Linked DNA regions of Astyanax mexicanus. The protein of the gene in region 1 interacts with the protein of each later gene in a pairwise test. Links are inferred from orthologs where the notes say so. Each region holds a gene or a part of one and is shown on either strand. Other genes may lie near its edges. The genes, in order: ccnk and cdk18.

Region 1 (16,274 bases):
ATGGTGTTACCATTAGTCAAATTCTTAAAAAAAGGAAAAAGGTAAAACTACATATACATCTTTCAGTGCAGCAGCTGTGGGGTGGAATAAAACAAGAGCAGTAGTGCATTTATTGACTGAGCAAATAGGTTATGAGGACACTGGCCAGTCACTAACTTTAGAAACATATCAGGGAGCTGGGATCCATACTCAAATCCATCATCATAAGTGGTGAACTTCTCAATGAACTTTTGCTTTTCCAGGGCACTCTTGGGTGAATTGGATTTACCCAATAGGTTACTCATCACAGCTGGGTACATGACACTCCTGCAAAGAAAAGAGTAAATGTAAATGTGACCAAACTCAAACAGTTCAGACAATAGCATGTAATTTAATCCAATTTCTTAAAAAATGTATGCATGCCATATTGGTGTGTTAAATAAACAATGGTGTGGAAAAGGTGTTCACTCTTATCTTTTTTTGTAAAGTGGAATTGGGGCTATTGGTTGTATATGGTTGGGTATTTTCCAGCCTTAGAAATAAAAACCTTCAATTAAAAACTGCATGTGTTTATTTGTGTTGTTTGACTATTTTTCATTTGTTTAATGAACTGAAATATTTATGAGTGACAAACATGCAAAAAAAAAAGAAATCAATAATGGTGCAAACACAATTTTACACCACTGAACAATTAAATGAGACATTTTCGGTGTCCCATGCAATCAGAATAATGCTGCACTAACCTGCAGGATTAGTGAGGTGTTTTGCTTTGAATGTGGATAAGACAATTCTAGCCAGATGTCAACATTTATGCTGGGAACTGCGGGTAGTAATGTCTTCTGTGATGTATTCCCTATACACGTGTAACACTGTGGACCAAGGAATGTAAAAATCCTGACACAATTTTCAGAAACTGAATGTTTCATCCACCTGGCACCCTCTATCAGATCTTACTTCAACTCCCACAATTCACCTGGCTTAACCATGTCAATCAGCCTCACTCACAAGAGAACGCTTTACAACGTATACAAGAGTAGGTGTTCCCACACTGTTTCTTGAGGTAACATTTTATTATGAATTTACAAACTGCGGTCCTGTGACTTCGGCCATGTTAATGTATATGTGGCTTTTTTTCTTCAATGTCAGCCAGCTGCCTCAATAATATTTATTCTGATACCATCTATTGTGTTTTTTGTGTTTGTTCACATGTAGAACAGTGAACAGATCAATGATTCAAGAACCATGTCTCTATACACACAGTGCAGACTGCAGTAGGTGAAGAAAACAATACATATTTTCCAATGTATGATTAATTAAAATGTTTTTGTCTTTAAATGGTCTGAACTCTGTGGTGAAAGTTATGATCTCATGCTCTCTGAGTCACTCTTTCTTGGTTTTCTGCAGTAAAAAAACTGCAGCAAACCAAGATAATTTGCTTAGTTAATTTTTTTGGCCAGGCAGTGTATGTCAGTGACAATTAATGGTCTTAAAATTACAATAAAATGTATCCAATAATTGCTTATTTTTTATCATAACAGGCCTACATTACATATATACAATCTAAATGAAAAGAATATAGATTTGATTTTACACTTCAGACACTGACAAAAATTATAAATATGTTATATATGCTTGGCTGTGACACTTTCTTGAAAAAGAAAAAGGTCTTGTGTGAAAAAATACATGTGACAGGTTGTACCTGACCAGCTTATTGAGAGAACCAGATCCTTTCCTCCCCAAGAGCTCCAAATGATTGTTGAACTCTTCACACAGGTGGTCCACCAGCAAGGCTGTGTTGCCTGGTGTCAGTCTTCCTTTAATCATTGTGTTACAGGCTGGATGGAATTTAAAAAAGCTCTCTTTGCTAATGGATGCTGGGGAGAAACCCAAAGCATGCCAAGCTGTTATAGCTACACCACAACACTCAATATTTAGAATATGCCTTAAATGTATTAAAATTAGCAACAGCAGACAAACTAAAGTAGTAAAAATTGTTTAGCTAATAAAAGTCATCACACTAGCTTGTGTACATGCAACTGACATTGCACTGTTTGTGTGTATATTTTAACTCTAAACACTTACTGCTTGCCCACAGTTTTACCATTTGTTTTCTTAAAAACATACTATTTTCAAGTTACTGCATATACACATCCTGTATATATATATATATATATATATATATATATATATATATATATATATATATATATACAGGTGCTGGTCAACGAATTAGAATAATTTGAAATAGTGCAATCATGAAATTCTTTGAATGCATTTTTTGTGCAGAAAGCAAATCAGGTGTTCACCGCACCTGTCCTACTCGTTAGACTAATCACAGAACTCGTTACCTGGAAAAAAAATTGCTCAGCTGAGCTTTCCAAAAGGCCCATTTAGGCCATTTAACTGTGACACTGTTGTTTTATTGAATTAGAATAATGGAGAAACCGTTTCATTGAATTAGAATAATTTTTATTATAATTACAATCATCACTTTCTCAGTATTTTGTGGCTGCCCCCTTGGCTTGTATGACTGCCTGAAGTCTCCGCGGCATCGATTTGACCAGCTTGTCGCAAGTTTCCGCACTCACAGCTTCCCAGGCAGTGGCGATGTTCTGCTTCAGTTGGTCCAGCGTAGTAGGCTTTCTGTCGCGAATTTTCCGCTTGACGATGGCCCAAAGGTTTTCAATGACATTGAGGTCAGGCGAGTTGGCCGGCCATGCCAAAACTTCAAGCTGTTTTTTAGTGAACCAATCTTTGGTCGACTTTGCCGCATGAGCCGGTGCAAGATCCTGTTGAAATATGAAGTCTTCTTCGCCGAACTGTTCCTCAACAGTCGGAATCAGGAACGTTTCCAGAACATCTTGATATACGGCAGCATTGACAGTCTTCTTGAGGAAGCAGAGTTTCCCTACACCTCGAGCGGACATGCATCCCCAGACCATAACGCTCTGGGGAAACTTGACGGATCTTTTCACACACTCGTGGTTGTAGGTTTCACCACCACGACGCCAGACACGAGGACCTTGGTCACCGAAGGAGATGCAGAAGCGTGATTCGTCACTGAAGACCACTTTCTGCCAGTCTTCAGCAGTCCACTCGCCGTGTTCTTTGGCCCACTTCAGCCATTTCTCCATTTGTTTCTTGTTCAGCATCGGTTTTACTGCTGGAACGCGAGATTTGAAGCCGAGTTCGCGCAGACGACGGTAAGTGGTTGATCTGGAGACGTCAGCGCCGGGCTGCTTGTTCCACAAGTCGGTGAGCTCGGAAGTGGACTTGAACCGGTTGCTGACTGCGATCTTTCTCAGCTGCTTGTTGTCACGAGCAGAAGTTTTTCGGACGGCGGAACAGTTGGTGCGCTTGCTGCAGTTTTTCTTGAGAGCTTTGCAGACGGAAGACTGGCTGATGCCGAGCTGCTCAGCAATTTTAGTTTGGGTCAAGCCTTGTTGGCGAAGGGCTTGAATTTGAGCCACTATTCCGGTTGAGAGGTCGCGCTGCTTACCCATGATTGATTTTACAACTTAGAAATTCTACTCAACCCTGACTTTATACTGCACAGTGAACACTCTTCACAGAAAACAAAAATTCGAGCATTTATTCTAATTCAATGAAACGGTTTCTCCATTATTCTAATTCAATAAAACAACAGTGTCACAGTTAAATGGCCTAAATGGGCCTTTTGGAAAGCTCAGCTGAGCAAATTGTTTTCCAGGTAACGAGTTCTGTGATTAGTCTAACGAGTAGGACAGGTGCGGTGAACACCTGATTTGCTTTCTGCACAAAAAATGCATTCAAAGAATTTCATGATTGCACTATTTCAAATTATTCTAATTCGTTGACCAGCACCTGTATATATATATATATATACAGTACAGGCCAAAAGTTTGGACACACCTTCTCATTCAATGCGTTTTCTTTATTTTCATGACTATTTACATTGTAGATTCTCACTGAATGACCTGGCCTCCACAGTCACTGGACCTGAATTGAGATGGTTTGGGGTGAGCTGGACCACAGAGTGAAAGCAAATGGGCAACAAGTGCTACACACCTCTGGGAACTCCTTCAAGACTGTTGGAAAACCATTTCAGGTGACTCTACCTCTTGAAGCTCATTAAGAGAATACCAAGAGCAGTAATCAGTGTGCATAGTGTGGCCAGCTCCTCAGGAAAGTAGCTATTGACTGTCCTAAAAGTCGCTAGAAGACACTAAATTACGCCATCGCCTAATTTGCATAATACATTTTTTTGAAGCTGTAAAGGATTAATGTTGTGGGTTGTGGGAGAGAAAAAAGTAAAAAAAACAAAAACAAAAAAAAAACACCCCAAATGTTACAAATAACAAATAAACAACATGTGGTTAAATGTTATTTCTACGTTTTTGTTTTTTTGTTTGTTTTTTTTTCAAGTTTTTTTTATTTTCAAACCTATTATAGACAAATTGTTCAATGATGAGCTAGCTAGCTAGATGTTTAGCTTTTTACAAAGAGGCAGACACTGTGGACAAGGTGAGTGATAGGCTGTGTGGTGAATGAGGTAAGTGACTGACTGAGACTGTGAGTTAAATGTAGTGATTGCTGTTCGTGTCACATTGAAGACACCTTTATATTTACATCCTGTTCTGTAAATACGGGGCGGGGTCAGTCAGTGGCGGCTGTGAGCATACGCAGTTGATATACAGTGTATTCGTAGTGCGGTATGGGTGTGCTCTGAGTGAGAGACTGCACTGTGAGTATTGTGGGGCGGGGCTCACGGCAGCACATGCTTTTTTTTACAAAAAAGTCGCTAGAGTGTCTGAAAACTCACCAATTATAGCGACAAAGTCACTAAGTTGGCAACACTGAGTGTGCAAAGCAGTAATCAGAGCAAAGGGTGGCTATTTAAAAAAAAATAGAATATTTTTTGTTAAGTACATCTACAATGTAAATAGTCATAAAAATAAAGAAAACACATTGAAAAAGAGGTGTGTTCAAACGTTTGGCATGTACTGTGTGTGTGTGTATATATATATATATATATATATATATATATATATATATATATATATATATATATAATATAATATAATATAAAAAAAAATATATATATATATATATATATATATATATAATATAATATAATATAAAATATATATATATATATATATTACTTACACAAACACAAATGACTGCAAACACAGTTCGAGTTACTAGAGTCATGGGAAGCAAAGAAGATTACCTGTATTGCGAACAGGCTCTTGCACTGCTTGTTCAAAATCAACATCTTTGGACATGAAAAAGGTTCGAAAGTCTTCATGGAGCGTAACAAAGGTCAGCCGCTTCCCAGCAACAAGAACTGTAAAGACAGGCCCATACTGGAAAACAATACAGCATGCTCATTTAGAAGAATAAACAACAACACAAAATACTATTTACATGCTGCATGATGTCCAGACCAGCTATAACTTTAGTTTTGTTGTTGTTGTAGTTTGTTGTTGTTGAAACACATTAAACTTTAAAACTGTCTGTTTTAAATTCAAATAATTAAATAAGTCCACTGCCTTTGAAATTAGACTACTGTCTACTGTCTTTATCTACTATCCCATAGAAAGAAATGGACAAATTATGTTTCTTTTTTTTCTTCTGCAGATATCATACCAAAAATACTTATCAAAATGAATAAGCATCAATCAAATTTAAATGTTAAGCTGTTAGCTAAACTTACTTTCTGAGAATTGTATGTTGTAGTTGTTTTACTCATGTTGTGGTTGAGTCTAAATTAAAAGACAATGCTGAAATAGCTTGACAACTAAAATAAATGTTGTCTCTCATCAGTGTTTCTCTCAACACTTCTACCTGCTCACAACGATACTATGATACACTATGATACAGCAACTCTACTGTGTTTCTGTGTGTCCAAACACAGACACTCAACACTGCTGCTGAAAGGGGAGGAGCTGGACTTCTGACCTTTCATAGTCCTCTAAAGATCAGCAGAGTGTGATGTCATTAACATCTGGCTATTCAGGAGGCTGCATTTATAAGGAGTACATGAAATGTTAGGGACTTGTAAATAACATCCATGATAATCTGATTTTAGATTTGATTTTACTGCAGATTAATTTTTATATTATTACTTTTATATATTCAAAACTCCTTAATGTGAAACAACACTGACAACTGTGAAACATTAATACGTAATATTGTACAACAGTCGATGTGTTTGCTTTAACTTATCTTATAAAGTCTGTAAATGTAGTGCATCTCCTAAAAAACTGTAGTGAAAAAAACATATCCATCATGTTTTTTTACAGTGCCCCTTCTTGCTATAAAAATATAAAAAACAGGTATAAAAAAGCTGTTACAGTAGGAATTTAACATTGATATGGCATTTTGGACAATATAAGGTCTGCAGGACGTGCTGCTTTTAACACTGAGACGCTTACCTTAGCTCTTGCACGTGCAATGAAATGCAGAGGCTCTTTTCCAAACTCAAAGGCAGCTCCAACCCACGGGATCCATCCTCTGATGCACGGAGGGGCGTTCGGGTTGTTCTGAAGGAAGAGAAGCCGAAAACAAAGGACGACGACAGTCACTAAGAGAAGTAGGGTAAACCACTCCATCACAGTTAAGTAGTTTAACGAACGCTCTCCTGTCCGGCTAGTGGTTTCTCCTCAGTCGTGGGACCGATATTAACAGGGCCAGTATACCAGGCTGACTCCCCTACAGGACAGGCGCCGCTACTTCAGCAGCCCACACTGACCGGAGGAATACCCGCCAGAGAGTCTCCCCGGGTAAATGAGTTCACATGGAGCAAATAATCAAAACAAGAGCTCATCTATGTTTAAAAAATATTCTCTAAATATAGAACCACAGTAAATATTTCAGTAATGAAGGCATGTAAGCCTATACGTTTTCAGACGTGCTCTGGCTGCTACTTCATAATCAGCTCATCAACTTTCTAGAATTAAAGACATTTCCTGGACAAGCAGTTAGTTACTGGTTTTTAGTTTACTGATTTTAGTTTTTAGCCTTTTATCTCCATTCATTCCTATACATTTATAACTTAATTCAATCAATTCAATATTGATTATTTTGTTTTAAACTTCACTTAAATATAAACGGCCCCACTGACTGTGGTAAAAAGTGATCCCCTTCAGTGAAGAAAATGTGATGTGTTCCCCTTATAGATTTCCTCATAATAGGATAGAGTTAACAACAAAATGAACTGTGTCATCAATGATCACAAAGTTTAAAAAGCATAAACTGTTACTTATTTTCCTTTAAATGGAAAATCTCCAATGAAAATACTGTGTAGTCCATTGTACCAGAAACAACAAAAACAATAATAATAACAATAATAATAATAATAACAATAATAAAAACAATAATAATAATAATAATTATTATTATTATTATTATTGTTGTTGTTGTTGTTATTATTGTTGTTATTATTATTTTTGTTGTTATTGTTATTATACACATAAAAAAATAATGTAGGATTTCACACATAGGTTTAGCTGTGTTCAATATGCATGCTAATTAATGCCAGTTAAGTGTATATACTTTTTTTTACTTTGATAAGTGATCCCACCACATGTTGGTGGGAGCTCCAGGCATGAGGTGCAGAGAGTGGAGAGATTGTGGAGAGAGTGGAGAGATTGTGGAGAGAGTGGAGAGGCAGCAAGCGGAGGAGAATCATTCTCCACCAGTTGGGGGCGACCGTCGCTCTTATCTGTTTGAAGCGTCCTCCCCGCGCGAGGAAGAGTGCGGTGCGGCTGTGTGTGTGTTCCTGTGTTCAGGTGTGAAAGAGAGCTCAGAGAAGCGGCGCTGCACGCGGTGTAGAGCGCCGGTATTCTCACAGTGCTCCGGGCCGGGCTGCGGGAGAGTCTGCGGGCGCTGAGGGAGAGGAGCGGAGCTGAGCTTCAGTGAGAAGGAGCCGCGGGTCCGCCGGCCGCGCTGAGGAGAAGCAGCAGCTCTTTGTGCCTCCAGCTTTGTGAGCAGCACTTCCGATCTGTGTCAAATGAAGGAGAACAAGGAGAACTCCGCTCTCAGCAGCTTGACCACTAATCTGGACCACATCAAGCCATGTTGGTACTGGGACAAGAAGGACCTGGCCCACACCCCATCCCAGTCCGAGGGCCTGGATCCGGCCACTGAGGCCCGATACCGGAGAGAGGGGGCCCGCTTCATATTCGACGTTGGAACTCGACTGGGACTGTATCCTTCATTTCCTTCTGCTCGTGTTGTTTTAAAACCCTGTATTACTGTGTGCTGATGCGCGACTTACCGCTTTAACCTGTTTACCCTTAACATTTCCTCCTTCAACAGACACTATGATACTCTGGCCACAGGGATTATTTACTTCCATCGCTTCTACATGTTTCATTCCTTCAAGCAGTTCCCGAGATATGTAAGTGTGGTCCGGCTCTGTGTAACACTGTCTTGAAACAGTACTGTAGGTATGGGGATAAACCACCCCAGATTTGCACTGGATCCTATTTACAGTGTACAAACAGTTCCTGATTTGTTTGTAAAAAAATTTGTGAAGAAAAAAAACAGGAGTCAGATGCATACTGCCCATAATTATATTTTTATTATATATATATATATATATATATATATATATATATATATATATATATATATATATATATATATATATATCATATTATATATTATTTTATAATTATATTTGTGATGTGCTTTTTGCCATTGTAGTTTTGCCAAAGTGGTCGTATTCTGTCTTTGTAGGACTCTGGGGGGTCTGTAGATATTAATGAATTAAAATGTTATTTTTATGTAATAGGCATTTTAATTAATAATAAATATTTATTGACATAAAGATAATGGTCAAAGACTTTGTGTAATAACGTGGTTTATTAGTATTTTAATAACAAGGGGATAAATAGTTCCAGTGTTTTTCCAAATAATTAACAAATTAATGTAAAAGTGTAACACTTTTTATTTAAAGAGCGATATAGGAAAAAAAAATGTATAGTTGCTTACCTAAATGGCAACATGTAAAACTTTCCATTAAGCTTACAAATCCTGTATATTAAGTAGCTTGGTTATCTCAACATTTTATGTAGTCAGCAATTGAATAATGACAATGGCAATTTAAATCACAACGGATCAATAAATTAATATTCAGTAAATGGTTTAATTTGTCAAGTAAATAAAAAAAATGAAAGGAATAAAATGGGCATCTTAAAATTGCTTACAAGTCCAGGTAGGACAGTCCTGCCCAACCATATTGGTGACCTCTGCTTCACATGAGTCTTACCTAATATCTCTCATAAGCTATGATTTAGTAATATTTTAATGGAGGGCAGTATTGTTGGGATGAGGGGCGAGAAGTGGAAAGAGTTCATGGATGCCTGTGGGTTACTGGCACAGTCTTTTAACAAACTTGTGACAAGTCAACATTTATTTTCTTATCAACTAAAAAAACATAGCATAACAGTACCGTTGGAATACGGTTATTTATCATTATGTTGCTTGACATTGTCCTACAACAGTTTAGGTGAAAGAGGTTGTTTTGCTTTAATTTTCCAGGTCACAGGGGCTTGCTGTCTGTTCTTGGCTGGAAAGGTTGAGGAAACTCCAAAAAAGTGCAAAGACATAATAAAAACAGCTCGCAGCCTGCTTAATGATGTGCAGTTCGCCCAGTTTGGGGATGATCCAAAGGTAAACATAGAGTCAGAAGCACATACTGTAAGGTCTGTAAGTATTCAGCACCTTATTTTATTTCCATATGTAAGTAGTAAAACAAGTTGAGATTACAGTCTTGTCAGCATTTTACACATTGGAATATTTGCTGGATCAGTTTAATTGTTTTTTCATTATTCTGAAAATAAATAGCTTGAAGGATGCTGCAAAGAAGCAAACACTCTAGTTGAATACATTTAGCTTAAATTGTTTTCTAAAAGGCATATGTAACATATGGACTTGTACATTTAAGTTTTTTGTTACATTTTTACTTTGTAGTGTTTTGATTTGAAGACATTCAGATTCTGAAAACATGCCTATTTCTGACCTCAAACTGTACTGTAAATGTTGATTTTTGTGAATAGTTTGGTTTGTATAACTTTTATTAACAGGAAGAAGTTATGGTGTTGGAGAGAATATTGCTTCAGACAATAAAGTTTGATCTGCAAGTAGAGCATCCATATCAGTTCCTTTTGCGTTATGCCAAACAACTCAAAGGTATATGATTTTGGTGCCATTTTTGATGTTGCATTACAGACATTTAGGTTTTGTTTGTTTATTTATTTGCATGTTTGTTTGTCTTGTTAACTGCTGTTTTTCAGGAGACAAGAACAAAGTGCAGAAGCTGGTGCAAATGGCCTGGACCTTTGTGAATGACAGGTTAGCATTAAAACCAACCTGCATTTTAATTGTCCTTCTCATGGAGAGCTGTTTGGTTTATTGTAAATTAGAGCAATCTGCAATTGTGAAATTTAGGGAATTATTATTCATTTTTAATATTAAAGATTAAGCAGACTGTGTGGTATAAGCAATTTTGTTTGGTTTTTCCAGCCTCTGCACAATGCTGTCTCTTCAGTGGGAGCCAGAGATTATAGCTATTGCTGTCATGTACTTGGCTGGTCGTCTGTGCAAGTTTGACATTCAGGAATGGACTTCCAAGCAGTCATCCCGTCGCTGGTGGGAACAGTTTGTGCAAGATGTTCCTGTGGAGCTGTTGGAGGGTAGGATGCTTTAATGTGTATTTAAATGTGTGTGTGTGTGTGTGTGTGTGTGTGTGTTATGGGAGTGCTAAAACTGAACAAGATGACACAAAAGTCTTTATAGCAAGTTTGAAAGATAATTGCTTGCCTTTCTTTCTCAGATATCTGCCACCAAATCCTGGATCTATATTCTCAGGGCAAGCAGCCCATTCCACAACAGCCCCAGTTGCAGGAGAAAGACAAGCCACCGCTACCTCCTGCAGGCCAGCCAGGCCAGTCTGGAGGTCAAAACCCTGCAGCTCCACCTCCACCTAAGAAAAACTCTCCCCAGGCCAGCCCCCCACGGCAGCTTAAACGACAGCACGTTAGTTGAATATTTATTTTGTCAGAGTTGTTGGGTTGAAAGGCTTAATTTAATGTTTGTATATGTAATTAATTTTATTTTAAGTAAATATGTTGAGATTATTAATGCTTAGCTGTACATTTGTACCATGTCAAATATTTTTGGTTTAAACTTTTATTTCATGTCCATTACAGATAGATGGCTTGTGAGATGTGTAGCGAACATACAAATACACTGTTAATTGTTGAAAAAATAGCTGCACCATGAAGGAAGTGTTTGATTTTTAGATTCAGGGCTTACCCAAGCGTAACTCTAACCCTAAAATGCCACTTCTTCTTCAACTGCACGAATTGTATTGGAAATCTTCTCCACTTGTAAGGGATACTACCAAGAGCAGGATTCATAATAAAAAGCATTCTTATATAATCAGTCAGGATTTGCATCATTGTGAAAATTAGTTATATGCCCCATGACTGATTATGCATATATGCATGAAGTGAGGCATAATTGTCAAGGATGTAAGCATTTTTATCTTTAGTCATGAACAGTACTCCCCACTAAAATGAATTGCTAGTTATGTATTGAAAATTATTTTTAATCCTCTTTTTTTAGGTTTCGCCAAAAGAAGAGTCAAAAGTTGCCACAGGTATAGATCGGCTTTTTTCCTAGAACTATTTAAGCTGGTTACAAATGTGCTGTTTGTCAATGACGTTTTTGTTTAACTTCATGCATGCTAAACCTTTTTTGTTTTTATTTGCAGAGCAAATTGGCTCTAAAATACCACGGCTAGAGAGTCCAATGCCTCCCTTACCAGTTACTCAGCTACTTGGTAAAAACCTCAGTTGTTGCACTGTTCCAGGGTTAGGTTTAATACTTGTCTAAGAAAACTGAACCAAATTACCTAGTAAAAGTTTCAAAATATAATTGACTTATTTAATTACCATCTTTGAAGTTCTTTAAATAATTTTAACATTTTCATGTATTGATGGTTGTAAAACCGAGCTTAATACTTAGTTTAAACAAACTACACTAATAAATTTGGGTTAATATTTTTTTACTTCAATACTTTAAATGTTTCTCTATTTAGATCGCAAAGGCCCACCCTTAGCCCCGGCCCCTCCAACAGAGACAGAACCAGCAGCCTCAGCTGACTCAGACTTATCCAAGGCACCTCCTCCTCTGCCCCATGGAGCTCCACCGCCTCTGCCTCATCGGCCTCCACCTCCACCCCCCTCCAGCTACATCATGGGAATGTCCACTTCTAGTTCATATATGTCGGGTGAGGGCTTCCAAAGTCTGCAGTCCATGATGAAGACAGATGCACCATCATATGCCCCTATGCCCCCTTCATATGGAATGCCTTATCACCCGCACGTTTACCCTCCTCCAAACCCTCCACCTCCTGGCCCTCCACCACCTGCAAATTACCCACCTCCTAACCTTCCACCGCCCACCCCGGCCTACCCTCCACCAGGCTACAATCACAATTACCCTCCTCCTCCCCCTCGCATGCCCCCAGGACATGCGGTTCCTCCGCCAGGAATAGGTTTGCCTCCTGCTGGGTATCCCCCTCCGCCAGTCCCCCCAGGCCAGCCGCAGGTACCCATGCCCCCTGGCATGCCGCCAGTGTCTGGGATGAATCGCGGAGCATGGATGAGATGAAGACGGGTTGTGTAAGGGGTGCAGCTGAAGCTCATTTCAAAATACCGTCTACCAAAAGCATCATCAGTCACCTAACTCAGGAAGGTCAGAACGTCATTGTATTGTTTAGTCATGTTATTTGTTTGTGAGAAACTCATGACTTACACTATTAACCTTTATTTGATTTTTGCCTGATTTCTGTTTTAAGGATATAGATGTAGAATCTTCATGTTTAGAAATATTATATATATGTGACGTTAGCATGTTTTTTTTTTTTTTTTTTTGGGGGGGGGGGGGTTGCTTTTGTTTTTTTCTAAAATGCAGATGTAGGACATCAGTAGGGTCTGTGTAAATATGAGAGGAATCTGATCCTTAATGACATCTATTTTTACTCTAGAAAGCTTCATGAATGTGTCCCAACAACTCAAATAGTTTTAAAATGACAGCACTGACTTGGCTCCATATATTACTGTTCTGTAATCTGTTTTATTATTCATAATACAATAGAACCAGTAACTGATGAATGCTTCATTTGACCACCTAACACTGTTGGACTTTAAGACTTGAAGACAGCAAATAGTGTTTTTTTCTTGAAATAGAGCCAATAATAAAAGTAAAATTTTTCAGGGGAAGGTTTTTTGATTAGATTGGTACATAAATTCTGTACATATCTCTAGAGGAAATGGTTTGGTGCTGTACGGTAGCATGAATTGTCACTTGTACATATGTACAGTAAAATTGTATAATCAGGAACATTCATGTTAATGATAGTTATTTTTGATTTATTATTATGCTACTGTACAATTGGATGCAAGAAAAATATATCTTTTTCATATAAACAAGTTAAAAGTGACCATCACACCTAAATGGACTAAACAGACTCTTCCGTCATTAACTTGATTTGTAGCCACAGTTTGTGTAAAGAGCATTTTTAATTATTGTTTATGGTAAGAACTGGAGACTTGAAGACTTGAGACTTGAACTTGAATCTTCATTCAAGCTTCTCCAGATGTGCCTTAGGCAAAATGTAGGCTTGCAGTGTTTACCAAACCATACGTGTGCAGATGCGTGTGTGTGCGCGGATGTGTGCACATGCATATGTGCGTGTGCGTTTTCCTCAAAACTTCTATCACATTGCTTGTATGATGCCTTCCTTGATATTCCACCACCCATCTCTGTTTAATTTATCTAATTTATCTAATTTGTTAACCCTTTTGGAAATATCTGGATTTCTTTGTAAACAGGTCTTAAAGTGAGAACTGCACTTTGAATCACAAAGAAGAAGAATTATTAAATAAATGTTTTTTCATTTTTCTGTCTATTGAATTGGTTGTTATTTACTGTCAGCTGACAATCTTATTAAAGATAATTATCTAAAAATGGCACTAAGTATGGTCAGGTGTCCCAAACAATTCATTAATAAGATTGATCTACACTTCGACATTAAAAATATTTTCTGTTTAAAATAATTCTATTACTTACTATTAACAATTATGCACAGGCAATGTTTCTTGAAAAAAACTTTGGGGAAAAAACTGAGTTTCTTAAATAAGCTTGTTGTAAGATAATTGGCCTTGCCCTCTCTGGGTGGGTAGATGACTCTCTTTGCTGGTCAATCATGTAGGATGAAAGTCACAACAACTGAAGGACTGGCACAACCATCTTGTATTGTGAACAGCACCACTAATGAGTCAGAAAGTTCAAAAACTGACTCAAGATGTGCACTTCTCTTCAAAGTCTACTATTTGGTGATGTCAACATGCAGAACTAGACCTACAGGGTCAAGAGTGGGAAAAGTTCACCCAAAAGCAGTGTAAAAGACTGGTGGAGAGCATGCCAAGACTCATGAAAACTGTAAAATGCAGGGTTTCTGAACTCTTTCTAAATTAAAACATTAATGTTGTTTCTAAATAAATAAGAGCTTGATTACTTTGCATTATTTAAGCTCTGCCTCTTTTTGTTATTTTGACCATTTTACATTTTCTGCAAATTATAGAATTATATTTTTTACAACTGCTAAGTGTTTACCAGTACTTTAGACATTTTTTAAAACTCTAAATACAGCAACACACACACCTTATACGATGAACCAAATATATGATTTCCTGACAAAAGCACATTTTGTCATCACAACACAAAAACCTGGATCCACATCTACTAATTCTTTTAAAACACTAACGCATGTTCTCTGTTCCAGAGTTATATAGTCATTCACTGTGCAACCACTGTCAAAATAATAAAAGCTAGTAACATTATAGACACAGCATCACATTTTTTTTTCCAATATAAATTTTTATTTTGAAAAATGTACTTGAGTTTCAAATGTGTGCAACATGTTGTCTACACGTAATTGAGTGATATTTATCATATAGAACTATAATGTAGACAGAAAATAGTCTGTGGCAATCGTTCTGTAAAAAAAACGTTAGGGACCTGAAATTGTTGTCAAATTCTACAAAAATGTTATTATAAACATCATTAGCCTTAGATCCATTTGTGCACACTTAAATACACAAATACAAAAATAATCCTTACACTTATTTTAACACCACCACAAAATCTTATTCCCTCTTTCTTATCCTGCAACAACTATTTCTTTCCAGAGTTGTCAAATAACGAATAAATACTTTGTTACTTAACGTAGGTATAAATGTAGATCATCTATATTTTACTGGAGTGATTATTTTTACATTTTCACATAAATATCTGAACTTTCTACTTCTTAAATTTTACATAATTGCCTCGTTACTCCTATTTCATTTCAGCTTGTTTTCATTCCAGCTTCTCATCATTCAAAACAAACTATCCAGATAAATCTCTCCATCCAGTGAATCTGATTGTGGTTGGATGAGAAGTTCCGACACCCTATTGGTTTATTCTGTTATCCATCACACCTGCACACATCCGGAACTCTACTCCAGCAAGAACATAGCAGACATATGTAGCCTAGTATAAAGATGATCCGTGCAGAGACTCAAAAGAAATCGAGACTAACTATTACTTTACCCCATCCAGACATATTTCCTTTTTTTCTCTCTCTCTCTATGTGCTACACTTGGCACACTTATTTCAAACAGATCTATTTTTTATGTCTGTGTCACTGACAGCACTTGGTAATGCTAAGTCTAATGCTAAGATCCAGATACAGCTGTGGTTGACTTAACATAGCCTCTCATTTATTATTAATAATCTGTAATTTCAAAATTGTGTATTAGCTATAATAGTTTTACACAGACAAATGTTATGTTGAGTGTATTTAGAGTTTTGAAAATGTGACTACAGATTGAACAAAAGCATGTTAGCATCTGTAAAAAACTAATGCTCTAAATTACAATATTTGTATTTAGGAGAATATCGTCAGTAGTTTATATAAAAAAAAATATTTTTACTCAAACATAAACCTATAAATAGTAAAATCAGAGACACTGTTCATTTTAAAGTGGTCTCTTATTTTTTCCGATGCTGTACATGCATAGATAGTTTGTGCACCCTGTGGTTTAGAAAGAGGTCTGGCTGGTCATTTAGAAAAACATACCCTATTATGGGGTGGCTAGCTCCTTTACTAGCTCTGGCCAGCTCTTGACGAGCAGCTGCAACTAAGACGGATTTTATGGCAGGGATATTTTGACGGTACATAACTCGCTGTG
Region 2 (15,869 bases), on another chromosome or scaffold:
GGTGAGATCATTGTTTGCCTGGCTTTTCTGTTAGCAGTATCTGTTAGCCTTCCTGCTAATAAACCTGTTCGTACTTTTAACTCGGCTTGCGTCACTCCTCACTACCTGGTGTTACAACTAGTTCATCTAGAGAAGTTACTCTGTAAGTAAAGGGAACTTACTCTGTAAAACACGGGCTGTATTATAAAGTGTTACCAATTTATTTAATAGCTCTCAGTATTAAATATGAAATTACTGTTTGTTAATTAATGTTTCCTGAATGTTTTTTGTTGATTTTGTATAAAATATTGCCAGTAAACAGTCATTATTATAAAATGTGGTTATCTGCAGGAGAAAATGTGAATATAATAATTGCTCGCAAGACGAAAAACGAACAACTGCCCACATACTACATGTGATATTGCAAACAAGCGTGCTGATGTTTCCTCAGAGCCTTTAGAGAATTGCTGCTTGGCACAAACTTGTTACCTTGCTCTAATGGCCGCCCTCACAGCACCAAGGACATGCATCACCTCCCGCTCGACCTCCTCCTCACCCCCCTCCAGCCACCCCCGCCTTCAGCCGGCAGGAGTTCCAGCCTCAATTAGGCCCTCTGCGCTGTCCACAGGGTGAAAGGGGACGGCCGACTCCTTCTGACTCCTCTCTAACTAGTGCTGCTTTCTCTTTGGGCATGCTCGGCTGCCTCCGTCCCTTATTAGAGCGCCCGGCTTCCCACCTCGACTGCACCTCGACAGGTCACTGTCCTCGCGGCGCCGGCCTGCACTGCGTTTAGAGCTTTTTACAGCGCACACAAAGCACCGCGCCGGCACTTAGTAAATACGCTGATGCAATCACTCCTTCATCCACAGGCCTGGATGTGCTGAGCTTTCTGAAGAGGAAAAATTATCTTTTTTATTTTCAGTTCTGAATATTTCTGGTGGTCTGTAGTCATTAAGGGTGGGCAATATCCCAGCAAAAAAAAAAAAAAAAAAAAAACGTTATAAGAACATTTCCACACGGTGCTTTTGCATGTCTCTACTGACCATCATTATATTTTTAATGAACATCATAAATAAAAAAAAGCTATTAATAACACTTTTTGTTGCTAATACAAGCATACGTTTCTCTATTTTAACTAAAAATCTATTTTCTCAGAAGATGGAGATCGTCAGACTCAACATTTCTTCATGTTTTATTAATAAATGATAGTAAACATTTTTTTTAGTCAACCTTGTCACATTTGACCCCATCACATTCTCCCCTTTCACATTAAACCATGTTAATTAAACCCCGTCACATTCAAACCTGTCCCACTCAACCCTGTTCAATTTAATCCCATTACATTCAACCTGTCACACTGAACCCCATCACACTCAACCCTGTCATGTTCAACCCCATCACATTCTTCCCTTTCACAATAAACCCTGTCATATTCAATCCCATCACATTTAACCCCATCAAACTGAACCCCATCACATTAAACCCTGTCACATTAAACTCTGTCACACTCAACCCCATCACATTTAACCCTGTCAGATTTAACCCCGTCACACTCGACCCCATCACATTTAACCACATCACATTCTACCCCGTCACACTCAATTCTGTCACATTCAACCATGTCAGACTCAACCATGTCACATTCTACCCCGTCACATTCAACCCGTCACATTCTACCCCGTCACACTCAACCCCGTCACACTCAACCCCGTCACATTAAACCCTATCATATTCAATCCTGTCACATTAAACCCTGTCACATTCAACCCGTCACATTCTACCCCGTCACACTCAACCCCGTCACACTCAACCCCATCACACTCAACCCCGTCACATTAAACCGTATCATATTCAAACCTGTCACATTAAACCCTGTCACATTCAACCCTGTCATACTTTACCCTGTCACACTCAACCCCATCACATTTAACCATGTCACATTTTACCCCGTCACACTCAACCCTGTCACATTCAATCATGTCACATTCTACTGCGTCACACACAACGCCATCACATTTAACCATGTCACATTCTACCCTGTCACACTCAACCCTGTCACATTCAATCATGTCACATTCAACCCTATCACACTCAACCCTGTCACACTCTACCTCGTCACACTCAACTCCGTCATATTCTACCCCGTCACACTCAACCCTGTCACATTCTACCCTGTCACACTCAACCCTTTCACATTCTACCCCGTCACACTCAACCCTGTCACGTTTTACCCTGTCACACTCAACCCTGTCACATTCAATCATGTCACATTCTACCCAATCACATTCAACCATGTCACATTCTACCCCGTCACACTGAACCCTGTCACATTCTACCCTGTCACACTCAACCCTGTCACATTCTACCCCGTCACATTCAACCATGTCACATTCTACCCCGTCACACTCAACCCCTTCACATTCTACCCTGTCACATCCTACCCCGTCACATTCAACCCCGTCACATTCAACCACGTCACATTCTACCCCGTCACACTCAACCCCTTCACATTCTACCCTGTCACATCCTACCCCGTCACATTCAACCTCGTCACATTCAACCACGTCACATTCTACCCTGTCACACTCAACCCCTTCACATTCTACCCCGTCATACTCAACCCCGTCACATTCAACCCCGTCACATTCAACCACGTCACATTCTACCCCGTCACACTCAACCCCTTCACATTCTACCCTGTCACATCCTACCCCGTCACATTCAACCCCGTCACATTCAACCACGTCACATTCTACCCCGTCACACTCAACCCCTTCACATTCTACCCCGTCACACTCAACCCCGTCACATTCAACCCCGTCACATTCAACCACATCACATTCTACCCCGTCACACTCAACTTCGTCACATTCTATATAGAGGTTCTGTATAGAGGTTCGCTGGGTTGGCAACGGCAGAAAGCGACTCTACCTTACAGCTTAAAGGTTTTTCTCCAGACCTGCCACTGGAGTGACTCTACATTGCTGTCTGGAGGTTTATTGGACTGGCCACTGGAGGAACTCTTCGTTACAGATTTCTTCTCTAGACCTACTGCTGGAAGTGACTCCACACTGCCTTCTGGAGGTTTGCTGGGTTGGCAACTGCAGAAAGCAAATCTACTTCACAATTCAGTGTTTTTCTCCACACCCGCCACTGGAGTGACTCTGCGTTGCCATTTGGAGGTTTACAGGGCCACTGGAGGAACAGTACTTCACAGCTCAGAGGTTGTCTTCAGGTTCGCCGCAGGTGTGAATCTACATTCTGTTTAAAAGGCTCTCCAGGGCTTCGCTGAGTGACTCTGCACAACAGCTTCCAGGCTTTTAGGCTGGCCTTTCAGACAACGCAGGTTCCATACCATGATTCCAGCTATTCGGCTCTGAGGCTGAAGAGTGGCCTTCAACTCTTAAGGACTCTGGGCCACTAAAATATCTCCAACTTATATTATTATATGGATGTATTATATAAGAAAAGACAGATGATACTTAGACTAAGTGTATATAGAACACTATTCACATGTATCAAGTGCACACAGTCATTTAATTCTATATACACTTAGTGTAAATAGTTTATTGCTGGTGTTTACACTTAGTGTAAATCACATCTAAAAATAATATTTGCACTAATAATATAATTCTTAGAAAGTACTAGAATTCTCAAAGTGTAAGATTTAATAGAAGACTGATAAAACAAACATAATACTGTATAAAAGTAGATTAAGCTCAATCACGTAGATAACTAATATGTATATATGTACCAGTAATGAATGTTTTATTTATTTAAAATTATTTTATCAAACCTTTTCTTTTTAATAGTTTTTTTTTTTATATTACTTATTGTTTTACATTTTTCCAATGTAATTGGAATTTCATTGTAAAGGACTTTGAGCTGCATTTTCATCTATGAAAGTTGCTATATAGATAAAGTTATTATTATTATTATTATTATTATTATTATTATTATTATTATTATTATTATTATTATTATTATTATTACTGTTTTGCAAACTTTATTAAAGGATAGAATCACTGTTGAAACTGTTGAATCTCTGGGCTGTTATCAAAGTAAAAGCTAGTGTTGAATGTTTTATAATGTTTTTAGTGTTTGTTTGTCACATTAAATAAGTATAATAAAGCTAAAAAAAACACAGGCTAACAATACTCACCTCTGAACTGCAAAAAAAATAGACTTTACCGCAGTAAACGACTAATGCTAATACTGCTCCAGTCTTGGTGCTGGAGAAACTTTAACGAGAACTTCAGCAGAGTGGCTTTACTGCTCCTTACAACCTAACAGGTAAAAGTATTTGATTAGGTGCACAGAATTATAGGGAACACTGACAGTTTTTGGGGAAATGAATGGATTTTAAGAGAACCTAATAGTGCAAAAATTATGGTATGTGTATTTACTGTACTAAATAGCCCATTAATTGGTAAAGATTTGGTTTGAAGTATGTTTTATAATGATCTGCATTGTAAAATGCAATTCCTAATTGCATTTTACTTTGGTACCACTTTAAAATAAGACTACCTTTATAAAGGGTTTATAAATGGTTTACAATTAGTTTATTAATGGTTAGTAACTAGGTTGTAAATGCCTTAAAAATCATTAATAATACGTTATAACACATATGTAGAAGGGCAACAATTACCTGTTGTTTGCCAAATAGTGAACCCACAGCCATCTATATTTTTACATTTTAGAGCTTTTCAGATACTCAACATACTTTGTCTTCTCCGTCTAACTCAACTTGCTTCTCCATCTCCATATTCTCCATCAGTCAACATCAGTTTAACCAGTTAAATCCCAAGTTTAACCATTCCACCACTAACTCTTTTAGTCATTTATAAACAACAGGTCATTGTTGCCCTTTCTACATATGTGTTATAACTGATTATACAACAGTTACTTCCGACCTCACAATCTGATTGGTTTAGAAGTGTTTTAGCCGTGATAATATTCGTGATTACATCACGGCCTTCTCACACTAAACTTGTATCACTCCGCCGACGCGTTGCCGAGTAACGGCGTATATACACACAGGACAGTTTGAATCATCGCCTCCACCGGCACCAACAGCAGCGTTAGCTTAGCACAGGCTAGCACTCAACCACGGCACGCTCACCTGCAGCGCTGACTCATGGAAAAAAGGGAAGGAAATTCGCTCGGCTAATGCCGTCTGACAGCCAGAACGCTAACTCAACCAGCCAGGCTAGGCTAAGCTACGTTAATGCTGAGCTAAAGCAAGCTACGCTGACTGCGAGTTTCTGAAGCGCGGATAGCTTGACTCCGGTTACCTACCCACAGTCCAGCCACACCGACAAGCTAACCAACACCACCCAGCAAAACAAACAGAAATACTCCAAAAATGCGCAGCGTTCACCTGAAGACAACTCCACAGAGCAGGAGAGGAGAGTATTAGCGTTATTTTACGCTCCTAATGTTACCATCTTCGCTTATTCCACTTATTCCTGCCTGAACCATACACTGTTTTGTAGTTAAGTTGTGGTGGAACTACTTTTTGGCGGAAGGCACAGTCCATATTAAAGCATATTCAAACTGAATTTCTTAAAGTTCTTTGATTTATTTTCTTTATTCATTTTGTAAAAAATAAACTGTTGTATAAAAGCAATAGAACACGAGAGGGAGTGTGTTATCACGAATAACATCACGGCTGTGATGATCTATGGACCGAATCACAGCCGTGATGTTATTCGTGATAACACACTCCCTCTCGTGTTCTATTGCTTAATTATTAATGATTTGTAAGGCATTTACAACCTAATTACTAACCATTAATAAATCCTTTATAAAGGTAGTCTTATTTTAAAGTGGTACCTTTACTTTTAACCATGCAATGCTCGAACCATTTTTCGTTGCATTTGCTGGTCTGCTGTGCTCAAAACAATCAGGTATGTCTAGGGCAAGAAACCAGAGGAACAGCAGCAGCACAATAGTGCACGTTTACTCCCGGCCTGCAGGGCGAGCGTCGTGAGAAAACCAACCGAAGGCTGCATAGTGTGCCTTTAATCTGATAATTATTTTAATCGATTGACACCACTAATAAAGAGCTTTTGAAGAACCCTTTAGTTTTAAAGGGTGTAAGGACATCTTGTGTATTCTTCAGGCTTGAGGATTCTTATCTCAACGTCTTCAGAAAAGTAGTTAGCACTCGTTTAGACATCTTCAAGTCTGTATTACAGGTACTAGTCGTTCTATTGCACAGTGTTATTTTATGGTAATGTGCTCACTAAGCCGTTATGTAACCACTTGCCTCTTATTGTGTGCGTGTAGTGTTTCCGGAAGGAAGGGTTTATTGTCCGTTGCGATGTCTTGGGCTGCTTTTGAACACTTTCATGTAACGCTTCACAGGAGCCCGGAGGAAATATGATTATCTCTCGTAATGAGACACTCTGCTTTGTACTCGGAACTAATAGGCTATAAAATGCTTTGTCTAATTATCGGTGACGATAATCTGGAATGAGTTTTTTTTTTCCTGTAGTTCCATAACTCTGAAAGTAATGATTGAACAAACATTCATATTCAAATGCCTTTCTTTGTTCAAAAAGCTATAATATCAAATATAATATGGTCTTATTTAATTCTCATTCCTTCAAGATTCAAGTAAAAGACCTGAGGGTAAACATTTCTTCCTAATTCCAAATAAAAATATGTATAGCATTTATTTGCAGAAAATGAGAAATAATCAAAATCAAGAAAAGGATTCAGCCCTCAAATAATGCAAAGAAAGTTGATATTCATTTAGAAGCAACAAAACTAACGTTTAAAGAGCTCAGAAATCAATATGTAGTGAAATAACCCTGATTGTAACACAGCTTTAATGTGTCAGAGCATGCTCTCCACCAGTCTTTCACACTGTTTTTGGATAACTTTATTCCACCCCTGACACAAAAAATCAAGCAGTTCAGTTTGGTGGTTTGATGGCTCGTGATCATCCATCTTCCTCTTGATTATATTCCAGAGGTTTTCAGTAGGGTTCAAGTCTAGAGATTGACCGTCAAATTATTTGAATGTCAGTCAGCAAGAGGAAGATGGCATCAAGTGACCTACAAAAAGAATGGCAGATGGCAGCAAGTCATGTAAAGCTAGAAAAAATTTTTTAAAATTAAAATCATCTTCTCTGATTCTTCTCTGAGTCCAATTTTTAGCTTTCTCCCAAACCTTGTTTTCTATTGGTTAGGCGGAGACCTGGAGAGCGGCACAAGCCACATGGTTATGGTTTAGGACCCTCTTGTGGATGACAGGAGATGATCTGGTGATGCTTATAATATATATTATATTATATTAGATATTCAGACCTGAACCCCCATTAAAAAAAAACCTCTTAAATGTAATCAAGAGGAAGAGAGTTGATCACAGGCCATCAAACAAAGCTGAACTGGTTAAAGTTTTGCGCCAGGAGTGAAATAAGGTCACCCAAAAGCAATGTGAAAGACTGGTGGAGGAGAACATGCATGAAAGCTGTGATTAAAAACCAGGGTTATTCCACCAAATATTGATTTCTGAGTATTTTTGTTGTTTCTAAATGAATCTGGATACATTTCTCATTTTCTGCAAATACATTTTTGTTTATAGAATAATTCAAATGTATTTTACATTACGACCCCCTCAGTGAGTGGATCAGATACAACCCCGAAAACACATTTTTCTAAAAACCATAATGACTATAATAATGTTAACTATAATAATGTTATATTGAGATTTTAATCTTGAAAAAAATGGGATTTGCTAGGTTCTCTAGTGAAACCCAGCTGCACATATAGCCATTGTAAATTAATGTTTTTTAGTAGGACGTAAATACATTAAAGTAAAAGCTTAGTTGGACTGGAGTTTGTCTGGAGTTCTCTTGAGTCTCTGCACGGATCATCTTCATACTAGACTACATACGTCTGCTATGTTCTTGCTGGAGTGTGGGGGGCGTGGCATCTGCAGGTGTGATGGATCACAGTATAAACCAATAAGGAGTCGGAATGGTATATATTTATACTTCTCTACATCCAATCACAATCAGATTTGCTCTATCTGGGTGGAGAGATTTATCTGGATAGGGTTTTTTTATGATGAGAAGCCAGAATGAAAACGAGCTGAAATGAAACAGGAGTAACGAGGCTATTTTAAAAATGTAAGAAGTAGAAAGTTCAGATAATTGCGTGAAAATTTAAGGGGTAGAAGCAAAATTTGTCTAAAAAATATAAATTACTCCAGTAAAGTATGGATAACCAATCAACAAGGTAACAAAGTATCTGTACCTCTTTACTTCACAGTTTTGGTCTTTCATCAGTGATAACTGGACACTGCCTATACAGGACGCTGTTGATGTACTACCCCGGTGAAAAAAAATATATACTTAGTTGTACTTACAACATATTGAGAAATTCATTTAGAGAAAACAGATTTGTGTACTTACTTAATATATAAATATATAAAATATATATAAAAAATACATTAATATAATGCTTTCTTTAAATGTTTGAAAGTAAACTAACAAGTACAATATATTGTTTTTTTTTTTAAATAAATAGAATACTCCAAATATACTTTTGTACATTTTTAGCAAAGTGTGTTAAAAACAACTGTTACAGTAGTTCAGTGTATCCTGTAACTTTTTAGAAAGTAAATTAAATTACTACTACTAATTAAATTTTTTTTAAGTTAATTTGTAACTCGCTAAAAATTGTAGTTAAGTATATTAAAATATATTTTTATACCCAACAAATTATACTGGAAGTGTGCTACTTACAAAGACAGGAACAAAAAAAAAACATATTTGTTAAATATATGTTAAACATTGATGTTAAATATATTTAACATCAATTCTAATCTACCCGGTGTATAATAGTGATACAGTTGTAATAAGCATATTATTTAAATTATAAGCATATATTTAAACTATGGGGTTACATACATGAAGCAGTATGTTTAAATGTTACTTAAGTATATTTAAAATAGTTCCATTTTAGTACAGTTAAGTACATTAAGCACAATTTAAGTAATACTTTTTTAAGTAAGTACTTTTTTATATTTTTATATTGTAATTAAAGTATAATACGTACAAAAAAAGTGGTTCCATTTTAGCACTCTTTAAATATACAGATTAATAATAAAGTGGCTACAAGAACACTTTAGTGCACTATAGCATAATAATGCTTAGTATATTTTAATCTACTTTATTTGTCACTAAGGTATTCTCAGTCCAGCAGTGACACTGTGGTGTTTAAGAACTCCAGCAGCACTGCTGTCTGTGATCCACCATTAACCACAACAAGAACAACAGTCACATGTAATGTATGTGTATACAGTTACGAAGTGTTCTATATGTCCTAGAAAATGAGGATGTGTTTAGAAAGAAGGAGGTGGTCATAATGTTATGTACGCATGTGATGTGAGGACAGAGCAAACATTCAGAGTGCATTCCGAGCCTACGGCTGCGGCAGAAAAGCTCAGCAGTCGCTTTAGCCGGCGCTGGTTATATATTTGCTATTTAAAGCAGCCACATACACACAAATACACACATGAGCACACACTGACATTCACACTGCAGGCAGAGTAGGCTCGTGCCAGGAGGCGCTGCGATTGGCCGTTGCTATAACAATAGGGGAGGGGAGACAGCCAAGTGGGGGCGGAGCTTGGGTGTGATTATAAAATCCTTTAGAGAGAGACACATTGGCTTCCTGTATTTTTTTTCTTTCTTCTTTTTCTTTTGTTTTTTTTTTCTCCTTTAGTATTGTGTTAAATTGCATGTGTCTCTTTGTCTCAGTCTCTCTCTCTCTCCATCGTTTTCTTTTCTCCTGAAAGGAGGAAGACAGGAGCTAGGAGGTGTGGGAAGCAGCCTGTGGTGACAGTAGTGACAGTAGTGATAGTGTGGTAGTGTGAGGTTGCAGGGTGTAGAGAAGGGGAGGAGTGTGTGTTTTGTGGGGGGGGGGGGGGGGGGGGGCTGATGAGTGGACAAGTGAGAGCGTGAGCCCGTGTCCACTTCACGCCTTCTAAATAAGACGCGTCCAGTTGTGGATTATCTGCGTCTGCTGCCACAGAGCTGGAGGCCCCCACCCCCCCGCCACCGGCGCCCGCCTCTCCCTCTCTCCCTGCCTCTGCCTCTCTCTCTCTCCCTCTCTCTCTCTCTCTCTCTCTCTCTCTCTCTCTCTCTCACTGGCAGCAGTGCAGCGAGAGACGGGCTCCTGCTTCTCTCCCGCAGTCCTCTCCACTACTGTAAGTATGAACTCACACACACATAAATACACACACACACTCACAAACTGGATTGTCTGTGCCGCGGTTGATGGGGGAAGTTGGTACTTTTATCTGAGGGCGCGAGTCACGCTTTCAGGAGGCTCGTGATGGGAGGCGTGCGGCGTGTTTAGTCTGCTGACTGTTGACTAATTCAATGAGCTGGGAGTCTGTGGAGGAACAGGCAGGAACAGCCATTATTAGCATTAGTGTTAAGTGGGGGTGGAGGTGGGCTGCGGGTGCTGGAGTGGACACATCAAGACATGGTGGGAGGGAGGAGTTTGTGACTTTGCTGAGATGGGAGACGTTGTTGTGTTTGTATGTCTAAAGTATCTCCAGTATCTACAGTATCTATATCCTTGTTCCTGAACCGAGCATATAGGACACTTTGTAGTTCTGTTTGTAGTTCTACTGGAAGTAAACAGCAGATTGTAGTCCTGTATCTATATGTTCCTCTGTATACTTTATTGTGGATCAGAGACAGCAGTGCTGCTGGAGTTTTTAAACACCTCAGTGTCACTGCTGGACTGAGAATAGTTTACCCGCAAAGTCCTGTGGGCAACATCCTGTGGCCAATGTGTGTATTTGGACATGTATATGTACATTATATCTTTCTTTCTCAACCAAGCATATAGGAAACTTTATAGTTCTGCTGAAATTCCTACTGTAAGTAAATAACAGACTGTAGTCCTGTATCTATATGTTTCTCTGCATACTTTATTGTGGAGAAGAGACAGCAGTGCTGCTGGAGTTTTTAAACACCATATTGTCACTGCTGGACATACAATAATTCACCTGCAATGTCCTGTGGGCAACATCCTGTGGACTTGTGTCCTAGTGGCAGCATATTGGTACTACTGATAAAGGACTAGAGGATGACCAACACTGTGATCAATGTGTGTGTTCAGATATTTATGTACAGTATATAGAACTTTGTAGTTCTCCTGGAAGTAAACAACAGATTGTAGTCCTGTATCTATATGTGTATACTTTATTGTGGAGAAGAGACAGCAGTGCTGCTGGAGTTTTTAAACACCACAGTGTCACTGCTGGACTGAGAATAGTTCACCAACAATGTCCTGTGGGCAACATCATGTGGACTTGTGTCCTAGTAGCAGCGTCTTGTTTCTACTCATGAAGGACTAGAGGATGACCAACACTGTGACCAATGTATGTATTTGGACATGTATATCGTTGCTGTCCAATGAAAAACACTTATCTCCATTTTTGTTGATTCTTCGATTTTTAATTTACTACACAACAAACTGTCTCTTACAGTGTGCCAAAATGTCTTGATGAATAAACCTGAAGGAATAAACTCTTTTTACATTGACCTCCATTAAAAGTTTACAAGGTTTTTTTTCTCTCTCCTGTAAAGTTGTTGGTTTAGAGATAAGTGTTTTTCATTGGACAGCGACGATATGAACATTATATCTTTGTTTCTCATCCAAGCATATAGGACACTTTGTAGTTCTACTTGTAGTTCTCCTGGAAGTAAACAACAGATTGTAGTCCTGTATCTATATGTGTATACTTTATTGTGGAGAAGAGACAGCAGTGCTGCTGGAGTTTTTAAACACCTCAGTGTCACTGCTGGACTGAGAATAGTTCACCTGCAAAGTCCTGTGGGCAACATCCTGTGTTCTAGTGGCAGCGTCTTGTTCCTACTAATGAAGGACTAGAGGATGACCAACACTGTGATCAATGTGTGTATTTGGACATGTATATTGTCGCTGTCCAAATAAAAACACTTATCTCCATTTTTGTCGATTTTTAATTTACTACACAACAAACTGTCTCTTACAGTGTCCCAAAATTTCTTGATGAATAAACTTGAAGGAATAAACTCTTTTTACATTGACCTCCATTAAAAGTTTACAAGTTTTTTTCTCTCTCTCTCCTGTAAAGTTGCTGTTTTGGAGATAAGTGTTTTTCATTGGACAGCGACGATATGAACATTACATCTTTGTTTCTCATCCAAGCATTAAACGCCACAGTGTCACTGCTGGACTGTGACCACATGGTCCATAAAGAACTAGAGGCTGACCAACAGATTCAGAGCTTCTGTCTCTGAGTTGTATACATCTAGAAGGTGGAGCACCTATAGAAGAGAATTTCTAATAGAGTGGAGGACACATTTTTTGTGGTGACGGACAGTTCTGGTGGAAACAGGAGAGTTGAGGTGCACAATGAATTCTGCTTTGATTTGGGCAGCCATGGTTTTATGTTTTTCGGATACAATCCGGGTTAGCACCCGAACATCCCTTTCAGACAGCTTCCTCTTACAGCGTCCACAGTTAATCCTGTTGGATGTGGTTGGTCCTTCTTGGTGGTATGCTGACATAACCCTGGATACCGTGGCTCTTGATGCATCACAAAGACTTGCTGTCTTGGTCACAGATGCTCCAGCAAAACGTGCACCAACAATTTGTCCTCTTTTGAACTCTGGTATGTCACCCATAATGTTGTGTGCATTGCAATATTTTGAGCAGAACTGTGCTCTTACCCTGCTAATTGAACCTTCACACTCTGCTCTTACTGGTGCAATGTGCAATTAATGAAGATTGACCACCAGGCTGCTGTAATTTAGCCATGAAACCGCCAACATTGGTGACAGGTGTTTCAGTTTCATTGTCCAACCCCTGTATATACAGTTGAATGGTTCTTGAACGGTGGAACTAAAGCTAAAGCTTCTTTGATGAGATGACGCGTTAAAACACATGTACACACACACCTAGCGTCAGTTAATCACACTAATGGGCGAGCGAGAGACCAGTGGTATGGGCTGAACAATAGGCTTCAGGCTCTACCTAATTAGCAAAAAGAGTACAGCTATAAATAAACCAGCAGCGCATCATCATCATCATCATCATCAAAAGCGAGACACACTGAGAACAAACAAAGCTAGCTAGCTCTGAGCACAGTCACGCACCGACACACACACACACGCACACACACACACTCGTCCCTAACTTGACAACAGGGGAAGTGCGTGCCCACTGCTAAACTTCTCACGTTTCCCAGAGCTAAAGGGGAGGATTACTGCAAAATAAGCACCACTTATTACAGGCGAATTACTGTTTGAACAGCAGGAACAAAGTGTGAATCCAAGCTAAGTATAAATGCAAGAGACCTTCCGTCTCGACTTTCTAAAAAAAAAAAAAAAAAAAAAACAGTTTGAAAGTAAATTTGTTCATCTGATCAGTCGCGTCGTTTGAAGCTGGATGAAGCTTTGAGCTTCAATCATCGTCACAGATCATCTTCAGAGAAACAGCAGAGTCAGCTGTCCTCAAATGAACTTTCTGAAGTAGTCCTCTAAAGTAAACTAAAGCTTAAGAAGAGTACTGATAGTGCAAGTACAAGGCTCTAAAGTAAAGGCTAAGTAAAATACATTGGTTCATATTATTGGATCCACAAAAAAAGAAGGGATTGCATGTATATATAGGACTATATTTTTTATTTATTTGCCATTTTGGTAACAACTACCAACTAATTAGTTTTACACATTCTTCATTATTGCAAGAAATGATACAACTCATCCATATACAATCATTTAACCAAAGACAGATGCACTTATGTGGGTCTTCACATACAAAAAAAAAAAAAAAAAAAAAAACGGTAACACTTCCTATGAACCCTGTATTCATAATGCCTTATGAAGTGTAATGTTCATATAAATTGTATAATTGTATACAATGTAGTGTTGTAATGCACTATAAAACAGACTTAGTATATTTTGGTATAATGCTTTAGTGTTTTTATATGCTTTTTAAACATGAAGTAAATGTTATTATGCCTCACTGTAGGCATTTGACAAGGCATTTGAAAACACACTTTACGTAAAGCCAGTAAAGAGCACTCATAATGCTCTATAAGATGTTACAGTGAGGCACACTAAAATTTACTTCACATTTTAAATGCATATGAAAACTCACTTCACTTATAGTCTGTAATGACTGTATATAAGGCTTTATAATGTGTTACACACTTTTATAAAAGCTTAATTTGAGAAATTATAGCAGCTATTAGAATTCATTATACCAAAACATACCAAATCTGTGTTCTTATGAACAGATATTACAAGGCCTTATAAGCTGTTTCTTTATAAACCCTTATACTTGTAGTTTATAATGTGTTATGAAGGTCGCTGTCAGTACTTATGAGCAATTATACAGGCTTATTACAGTCATTATAAGGTATTATGCATGTCATATAACGCATTTTGAATGCATTTATAATGCATTATAAATACAGGGTTCATAGGAAGTGTTTCCAAAAATCCTCATGTCATTACATTTGTTTTAGAATCACTTTTGTAACGAATCAAAGAACAGATTTTCCCATTTTCCCCTTACTTTACTTTTACTTTTATACTTTAAATAGATTTCAATCCAATACTTTTACACTTTTATTTGAGAAAAAAAATGTTGAGTTGATACTTCAACTTCTACAGAAGTATTTTTAAACCCTATTATCTATAGTTCTACCTACAGAGTAATGAATGTGAATACTTTGACTGGACAGTGTTTAGCCAAAAGTTAGTCAAAAGCTAACATCTCACAATCGCTGCTGCTATCTCATTATTTTTGGCCTGTCATTATATATGTTTTTTGTTATGTGTGTCTACTGAGTCTATTACCAAAAAAAGGTTTCACTCTCGAGTCAAAAAACACTTTTTAGTGCTATATAAAACCTTAAAATGCTTAAAATTAAAATGTTTTTTTTAAGCAAAAGGAAAACTGCTGTGCTGCTCGCTTATCTACCAGCCGTGTGATATCAGCACCCAGGTCTAGACTAGTCTCATATACTACTTATCACATATGAGGCAGAGAGTCAAAAATGACTTGCCGTTCACTCGTACCTCTACCTCACGCAGTTCCGCTCCAGTACTGATGCAGTAGCTGTACTGAAACTCTTTGAGAAGGTAATTGCAGATAATTGCACAGTTGAATCTCAGTGAACAGTGACAAATAGAGGGCTTTATTGCTTATTGAAAACAAATTGCACCTCACTCTTAGCCAGCTGAATAGAGTGGGAGAAATTACCTCGGAGGAATGAAATGGGCAAATTCCTAAATGAAAAAGCTATTCAAAAGACTGTGGGTAGAGGAGGGTAGCTGTTGAGTCGGCTGGCAGGAGGTAGTCTTGGTTTTGTTGGTCTCGATGTCTCAGTAGGGAACGAGATGATTGGGAACTGAAGCAAGACAGACGTTCAAGAAGGCTGTGTTATCTGGTAGTTGTCGTCAGCAGTGATGCAATAAAATTTACTTTAAACAAAATAAATAATTTGGCTGAAGCAGTGCAATTTTACCAACTCCAGCAGTGCAATTTTAGATATAAATGTACCTCAGCGGTGCTATTGTAATCATTAATGTACTTAAACTGCTGCAATTTCAGTCATAAATTTACCACAGCAGTGCTACTCTACTGAAGTCACATATTAATGAAATTTACACATTGAAAGGCAGATAAAAATCTAAAAAGTGAGGGCAAAAGTATTCAGCCCTCTTTACTCTGAAACCCTTAAATAAAATCCAGTGCAATCAATTTCCTTTAGAAGTCGTAATTACTTAATTAGTTAATAGAGTCATGCAGAATTAGCATCTGTATGTTTACCAAAAGACTGACTTTTGGTAAACATACAGATGC

What was found.
Region 2: the proteins of ccnk (region 1) and cdk18 interact in binary tests that used the Homo sapiens proteins (3 or more experiments, as listed by UniProt). The two-hybrid records come from large-scale screens. The link is inferred for Astyanax mexicanus from reciprocal best matches to the Homo sapiens genes CCNK and CDK18.

Annotation. Positions count from the first base shown.
Region 1 is NC_064408.1:54,978,417-54,994,690, reverse strand, and holds ccnk (cyclin-K), read left to right. Parts: upstream 1-7,645; 5' UTR 7,646-7,975; coding exon 7,976-8,172; intron 8,173-8,283; coding exon 8,284-8,365; intron 8,366-9,510; coding exon 9,511-9,642; intron 9,643-10,055; coding exon 10,056-10,161; intron 10,162-10,265; coding exon 10,266-10,323; intron 10,324-10,494; coding exon 10,495-10,664; intron 10,665-10,804; coding exon 10,805-11,007; intron 11,008-11,598; coding exon 11,599-11,632; intron 11,633-11,746; coding exon 11,747-11,815; intron 11,816-12,073; coding exon 12,074-12,648; 3' UTR 12,649-13,946; downstream 13,947-16,274. Other genes in the region: 24-hydroxycholesterol 7-alpha-hydroxylase, read right to left, coding at 157-306, 1,679-1,853, 5,192-5,327, 6,399-6,575. UniProt on the Homo sapiens protein: Regulatory subunit of cyclin-dependent kinases that mediates activation of target kinases.
Region 2 is NC_064431.1:6,534,432-6,550,300, reverse strand, and holds the start of cdk18 (cyclin-dependent kinase 18), read left to right. Parts: upstream 1-9,958; 5' UTR 9,959-10,203; intron 10,204-15,869. UniProt on the Homo sapiens protein: May play a role in signal transduction cascades in terminally differentiated cells.